Rattus norvegicus: one gene and its partner. The protein of the gene in region 1 purifies or fractionates together with the protein of each later gene. This does not show direct contact. Links are inferred from orthologs where the notes say so. Each region holds a gene or a part of one and is shown on either strand. Other genes may lie near its edges.

Evidence for each region. The genes of interacting proteins can lie anywhere in the genome.
Region 2: the proteins of Pak1 (region 1) and Git2 purify together in Homo sapiens (affinity purification with mass spectrometry; 5 studies listed by BioGRID and IntAct, with this or other methods). This does not show direct contact. The link is inferred for Rattus norvegicus from reciprocal best matches to the Homo sapiens genes PAK1 and GIT2.

Annotation. Positions count from the first base shown.
Region 1 is NC_086019.1:161,612,660-161,616,678, reverse strand, and holds part of Pak1 (serine/threonine-protein kinase PAK 1), read right to left. Parts: intron 1,915-4,019; coding exon 1,740-1,914; intron 1-1,739. UniProt on the Homo sapiens protein: Protein kinase involved in intracellular signaling pathways downstream of integrins and receptor-type kinases that plays an important role in cytoskeleton dynamics, in cell adhesion, migration, proliferation, apoptosis, mitosis, and in vesicle-mediated transport processes.
Region 2 is NC_086030.1:47,521,023-47,525,041, reverse strand, and holds part of Git2 (ARF GTPase-activating protein GIT2), read right to left. Parts: intron 3,560-4,019; coding exon 3,311-3,559; intron 1,624-3,310; coding exon 1,534-1,623; intron 1-1,533. UniProt on the Homo sapiens protein: GTPase-activating protein for ADP ribosylation factor family members, including ARF1.

The DNA.
Region 1 (4,019 bases):
AAGTTGGCAAATTTTAAAGAACTGTATCCAATTCCCAAAAGCATACCAGCCAGACAATTAACTTTCCTCCAATAAATCCCAACCGAAAGTTTTATATATACTGTTTTTTAAATAGTAATTTACTCCTTTTCCAAACTCCTAGGAGCTATTAATTTTTAAATTAACTCATTAACATTTATTCATTTGTTGCATACCAGACTGTATGCTGAGTGCTACAAGTAAAGAGAAAAAGATGAGGCACATTTAAGACAGTCACTACTCTCAAAAGCTCAATCTAAGGAAAAGAGGAGCAAATGGAAGGTGCTGCAAAAATACAGGATTGCTGTGGTCAGTGCTGAAGGGATAGGGAATGGCAAAAGGCACAGACAGAGACTGAACAGCTTCAGAAAGGCGCTGCCTGGACTGATTTTGATTTTAAGTATAAGTTAGCCAGGTTAAGAAAGCCAAGAGAACTCTGTAGCAGGGGGCACTTTAAATAAAAAACGCAGAAGTATGAGAGAGCCCACGGGTCTCACAGTGGGATTCTAGGGCAGGGAACTGAAACCCACAGAGGGAAGATACTTCTCCAAACTCATACATTAACTGGTGCCAAGGCTGGTTCTTAATCTCTCAGCCCAGTAGCTTTTCCACTGATACCCCAACCACTAGGATTTGGTGCTTCTCACATATGGTATTATATCTTTTGATTTAAAACAAATCAAGTGTAAGTATCACTATTTAAAAGATGTGAAGAGGAAAGGAGACTCGAAGGACAGCAGGAAGTTGTCCAGGCCAGACTGCTTTGTATAATGCCTTATATTATTATTTAGGGATCAGGAGTACACATGATTACACAGATGCCGAGGAGTGGCTTTTACCTCATTGTGAGGGCCCTAGCAAGGGCAATTCTTAAGACAATAAACTGAACAAACAAAAGGGTTAAACAAGAATTATTAAAAAGAACAGGAAGCTGCCAAACTAGACCACAAAGCTCTGCTTTAGAAAGCAACGTGAGCATACAAACTTGATCAAACCAGTACATCAAATCCTTTTTCAATGATTTCCCAGGCCACAAAAAAATAAATAAATAAAATAGAAAATAAAAATCAACCTACACGTACTATAATAGGTGATATGTTCTATTTATAACACATCTTGATCTGACCTTTGCAGCTCTATGATCTGGAGCAGGGTATAGAATCTTTGGGTCTTAAAAACCTTAACTGCATAAATGAAGATTATCCTGAGTATCTTCTCAGAGTAACTTCAATACAATTTAAAAAGTCAAGAAACTATCTTGCTTGTCATTTCCACACAGAACAGGCTCATAAAACATTGGTTTCCCCCCTTCCTTCTTTTTCTATAACTATGATGGCAGAATTGTCCTCTCCTAGGTCAATAGCAAGCATCAACAAGAGCACCCTTTCCACCAGGAAGAGTCGATACCTCGATCTTTCTCCATACAATACTCTAGACTACTCACAAAATAACAGCTATTGGTTATGTCCGTAACACTCAACGTGAGCTGCCCACATTCTCTATTGTCTCTATCCTACAATATACACACCCAGAGCTGGTGAACACAGACAGGGTGAAAGTTCAGATGATGAGCAAGCCTTACAGCCTATAGGTCAGGAGTTACAGAGCCAGCCAGGCACATGGCTAAAACCTAGGAGCCAGATCTTTATTGCAGCATTCCATTTCAATGATTAATCAGTCACAGACGGAGTGAAGATTCAAGAAAGCTATAAAGTGCTTACGTAATTTCTCTAAGATCTCCTCATCAGACATTTTAGGCTTCTTCTTCTGCTTTTCAGTATTCCGGGTCAAAGCATCTGGCGGAGTGGTGTTATTCTCAGTAGGAGAAATAGGAGATGTAGCCACATCCCGAGTTGGAGTAACAGGAAGTGGTTCAATCACAGACCGTGTATATACCTGCATAATCAGTGGAAATTTTGGCAAAGCAGCCTTTGTTAGCATAGTGGAACCTCTTCTGAATGTTCTAGTTAGAACATCCCAGGAACCTTCCCCCTTCCCCAGTTACCCTTTCTCTTATATGTCAAAATCTGCATTAGTCCTCTTCTGAGCCACAGCCCATTTGTCCTGGGTAAAACAACCTTCCTTTGCTCTCACTTTACAAGAAGGGTTAGTGATAGCCTTAGCACTGAAATCACTCCAAAATGGCTAGACGATGCTCAGTAAAAATTTGGAGATTTTATCATTAGATGGAAACCTTCCTCACCCAGAGTATCGACTCTGTTTTTTCTGAGATGAATCTTGTGTGTACCTGACACTTTGCAACACTTGACATTGCTTTCTATGGAGTTATTCCCTCTTGAACTGTTGAGCTCTTACCATGAACTAACTACTCTTATTCATCAAGAGGCAGAAGGGTACAATAATTTAAAACAAACTTGGAAACCTGATGGCCCAGGTTTAATTCTCAGCTTCATTACTATCTGAATGACTTCTACCAGTTTACTTCATTTCTCTGTGCTTCAGTTTCCTTGTCTATATAAAACAGTGACACCCACCTTATTTAATAATAAATCAACATGTGAGAATGACATGGCCACGAGCAGCAGATATTAGCATTCAAACCTCAGCTTTTAGAGACATTCTATTTCCTATCCATTTGTTTGTTTAACAAATATTTGCTGAGAATTTATGGTACGTCTAGCTCTGTACAAAACACTGCTTTACTCACGCTGAAAAAGGAAGTGTGAAAGTAATTGTTACAAAAGCAAAGGAGAGATGTTATTAAGAAAGGAGAAACTCTATACTACCAAGGTAAAGAAGAAAGTATTCCCAGGTTACACTCCCTTTTCTAGAAGATGTGTATTTGTCAGATTTTTATCATTAAAAATTCATAATTATTTTTTGATTATTTACAGGGTCTACTGAGACAGCACACATTACTCTTCCCTGAATCCTCTAACTAACTCCAGCCTAATAAAAAGCAGGCATTTGGGTATTTAAACAGAATCAATTAACAAATGGACCTATCAGATGTTTCAACAGGACTGGCTTTCTGACTTCCCTAGCAAAATAATGTCTCAATTTTTATTCCTATTCATGTAGAACAATTATATTCCAGATACTTAAACATTTTTGCTTCTCCACCTATAGTCCCTTGAGGAAAGATGACCTGTCTGTTCCCTCTAAAACATTCTCCTTAACTGGTTCCCAGTGCATGTCTATACACACAAAACTATATGTGGTATGTGCACTATCATGGAATGTAATCTGGACTTGGATTTAATTATCTGCTCTTAAACCCTGACATTTGCTTACTAAGTGATTATGACTAGATCAAATTACTTATCCAAACCTCGTCTGCTTCTATAAATTAGGACTTAGCAATATTTATTTCAGAGATGAATGTTAAGAAAAGCACATTTATCAATATAGTATTCAATATTTACTGCCCTCTCTCTCTGATCTTTCTGCCCAAACTATATTAAGTACCAAAAAGATAAATAACACATAGATAAGTGAGTGATAGATACATTGATAGGTAAGTAGATTTTTCTCTACTTTAGAGAGAAGACTGTGTTAAATAAGTAGGCCTGCAAACCAATGCCATACAGAAACACAAACAGGACACTCAAGGGAGACAGTGACATCTCACTGATTCAGCAGGCTACTTTCCTTAAGGTAACTTTGTGACCTACAGACAAGGAAATCCATATTCTATTTATAAGTTCTTAGGCTAAGAGATAGGCCATCTAAATGGATTTCTTCCACAGCACCTCACATGAGTCATTTAATCAGCACTGAGCTTAAGTCCTAGATGTTCTGTCATTATGGAGTTCTCATAATAAAAAGCCAAAGCAAACATGAGTAGTGTTTCAGAGTATCATCGGATGGCGATCACTGTTCAATGATGCTAAATCAAAAGGCAAAGCTGCAGACTGGGAAAAGTGCAGAAGGAGGGAAGTGTGGCTATTCTAAAATGTGGGCACCTCAAAGGAAGTTAAAAGAGAAATCACTACCAGTATCCGGCACTCTTAATGTCCAGCATATTAATAGCACTAATG
Region 2 (4,019 bases), on another chromosome or scaffold:
CCAGAAGTGCCAATGTCTGTTTGAAAATCTCAGAAGAGGGAGACACACCCACTAATAGCGTTCAGGAAACGCTCTTCAAGTGCAGTGCAAAATTACTTACGGACTAAGTCCTCCTCCGTCAAAGCATATGGGTTCAGTGCAGCCAGCATGTAAGTCTGTGAGAGTTACAGTGAGCATGCAGAGCCAGGAGAGCTCAAGTGCTGCTCTCTCGAGCTGTTAACAGACAGGTTCCCTGTAGCCGGCGTGGGGTCAGTTACTGAACAACATGCCATCTTTCTGCACAGACAAACCACAGAAACCTGACCAGGGCAGCGCTGCCAGGCGCACATGGTCCTGGATGACGTCACTGCTCAGTGTGCACAGAACCACTTCAGCGGCTGGTCCCTCTCAAAGCTACCAAAACGCCACAAATCAGAGAAACTACAAAATTTTATGGTGAGTCACCTGGGCCTACCTGACTCTCATTAACATAATTACTGACAAAATGGGGGGGTCCCTTATTACCCTGCTGTTCTTTAACTGGCATTGTAACAAAAGGCTACAGTGCTCTTACAGGGCTACTCAAAACACTGTAAGTACCAAGCAAAGAGACCTGGGTAGCCAGTGGCCCTAGCAGTGGACAGGGGTCCTCAGCACTCTGAGGGGTGGCGGCTACATGGAGGCTTGCTGGGGAAGGTGGTCTCTTGCTCGCAGGTCCCTTCCTTCTTTTTACCCTTGCTACAGACAGACTGAGTTGGAATATGAAGGGTCAGCCTCCGACTCTCAGGCCCTCCCAGTCTTCCACAGGAGGAAACCAGCCTGCTCTCTGTGCACATGAAAACATTTTTCTTTTTACACAATGTCCCTTTGGGAACAGGGACCATGTCACTTAAGTCTTTTATACCCTTTAGCGGCCTTTCTTAAAGGTGGGTGCCAGGGAGGCCACTGAAGTGTGAGTCCCACACCAGCAGAAGGGTCTGGCCTACTACTTCAAGTGGAGAGCTGTAAGCCTGTAGCCATCTCCCCTCTGTTCTGTGAGCACACCAGGACAACTGAGCCTGGCCGGGACTTGTTTGATATGATGGCGCTAACATAAAGTAAGTCAGCAGTTAAAAAAAAGCCGTGACACTTTTGTGCTGACCCAAATACACTTTAAATTTAATAACTGGGTGGACTGCCCTATCACATGTGACCAGTAGCTAGCTAAAGTTTCATTTGCTTAAGGAGACAGTGCGCTTAGAACGTGCGCTCTACATGATCTGTGAGCTGGTTAAATAGGTGAGAAGAGGCAGTGTGGAGGCACACAGTGTGGAGGCGCACAGTGTGGAGGCACACAGTGTGGAGGCGCACAGTGTGGAAGCCGGCCAGCTTTCTCCAGGTCAGAGGTGCATGGCTGCACGTGCCTGCTGCTGTGAGAAACCAGGAGCAAAGCGCTGCTTCATGCAGGACAGGGGGCTGTTAGCAAGGGCCGGGGCACAAGGGCCAGCTCCCAAGCACAAAGCACCAAGGAGCACTGCCCCTCCTCCAGGGCAAACCGGTCAGAGTGTACTTAACCCTTCGGGTGCTTTCGTCCCTGGACCAGGAAAGTGTGGAGGGGAAGGAAGGCAGAGACGAAGAGGAGGTCACAAGTGCACTCCTCCCAATCTGGAAGTGGAGAAAGAAACAAGCTTGGGAAAACATAAAACAAACACGTCCCCACTTCCCACCCTACAGCTCACACAGTCCCACGCACACACGCAGGAGCTCAGTGACAGCCCTGGCACAGTAATCTCTAATGAGGCAAGAGCCTGCTGGAAACCACTTTGCACTTAGGAGGCCACTTGTCCTTAAGGAAAAGATACCACAGCCGTCTCGCTACACTTGGCATGGCTTCAAACTGGCAGCACACACTGTTAATGCCTGCAATGACGCTTGCTCTCCCGTCGAGAAGGAAACACCACATAGTGCTATGGATGACTCTGAATTGGGGCATACGATCACCCCAGTCCTCAGGACAGACGGGGCAGCACAACCACAGCCGCACTTTCTCTAGGATCACATACACTGCTTACGCTGCCAGGGAGGTCGCCTTCATTTACGTTCAGTTATATAAAAGTCAGGTTCCTTTTCACTCAGTTCAGTGGCCAATAGACCAGGTCAATGGTTGGTCTTCAAGCGTTAAACCCAAATAAAGAGAGGCTGTGACTCCTGGGTGCACACAGTGCTGCAGTTTTACCATGCTAAAGTCTCGCAAAATCAGAACTGGTTACTTCCTGAGAGCTTAGCATGTACTTCACAGTGCCCTAGACTCTTAGTCAAGTGCTCTATGTACTTGCAAGAAACCAGTTTGACACTGCAAAGGGTGACACCACACTCTGAAGGAAGAACTATGAAGGGCAGTTTATGCCTGGAGCACGCTGTGGAGACAGACATCTTCACAGTAAGTCAGTCCAGAAGACAGAGGAGTTCAATGTTTGAAAACCTGGCATCCCCATGTGCACCACGGTGTCGTCGAGAGCCTGCCACAGAGCAGCCTTAGGAACCGAGGCTTGTGAGCGGATGATGCTTGTGAGCGACGTCCACCATCAGTTATTTACACATTCCCTTCTTTGTTTGTTAATGATATTTTGGAGATAAGATCTGATGTGGTCCAGACAATCCTCCTGCTTCAGCTTCCTGAGTGTGCTGGTTTAATGCTTGCTTACCCTGCATCTTTAGGAGATAACCAAGCCATACTACTAGCCTATGCTGAGGTCCGTAACCAGGATGCCGAAGCCAAGACTGTCTCAGCTCCATGTATCCAGTCACAGGCCCAAAAGAGCACCCTGGGGCCCAAGAGTTCCAGTTCATACAGGGGGCATGTCTCTGCCTACCTGGTTGTTTTTCAAAAGATTATTTTATGGATGATGTTCTGCCTGCTTGTATGTGTGCCATGTACATGCAGAGCCCTGGAGGCCAGAGGAAATGTCAAATCCCCTAAAGCTGGAGTCACAGCTGGTTGGGAGTGGGCTGTGTGCCTCGTGGGTGCTGGGACCTTAACCCAAGTCCTCAGCAAGAGCAGCCAGTGTGCTTAAGCCCCGAGCCACGTCTCCAGCCCCAACCTCTGCCTTTATGAAGACAGACATTTCTGTTAGTAACCTTTACAATTGGCTTTCGTTTGTAGAACCTAGGAAGGAAGCATTACAGAAAAAATGCCAACAGAGGTTGTCTCAAGCCCTGTGTGACCAGATGCACCTGCAGACATCCGTTCAGCACACACAGGGGCCCTCTCAGCGCCCAGAGATCTGCAGGGGCAGAAGAGGGAGAACAGTCACACTGCACAGCAGAATGGACATACACTGGTGCTACTTACATGAGTGGGGAAGGGCTGAAGTCTTGTCCGGCTTTCTTCAGGGTGGTTGGCTTCTCCCATTGGGAGGTATGGTTTCTGGCCTGATCCAGTCTCATACATGGACATGGGTCTACTGCCCCGGGCTGATGGCCGGCGCTTCAGGGAGGAGTGGCTCACAGTGTCTTTGTGGTCAGAGGCAGTCTGGACCTGACAGGCACTGGCTGTGGCCTGTCTCCTGAGGCTTGAGTTCTCACTCTGTAGAGTTTGAAGCTGAAAGAAATGTTTGGCAGTGGGTCTCTGTTTTTGCACAGCAGGCAGACAAAGCAAACGTCAAATATTCCAACATAACACGACCTCATGAGAGCATAAAGCTAGCTAGACTGAATGGGGAAGCCATGACAACCCCCCTCCTCCTTCCAGAATAACCTACTTTTTCCACCTCACAGGCTCATGAGAAACTCAAGCCTAACCACCTAAAGAGTTGTCATGGTGGGGTCAGAGAACCGGTACAGACAAGCTGTACTCTGGATTATTCTAAGGCTGTCTCGAGGAAGAGGTTCAGAACATTAACCGTGATTCTCTTCACACGGGCCCTGAGTAATCTGCAAATGGGGAAAGTGATGGGAGACACCATGGAAGCAGCACAAGAGAATCCGAGTTGCTGTGCAAAGCAGGAAAGGATGAGGGTCAGCCCAGGAAAAACCTCAGTGCCTATTGCTTTCCAAAGAGC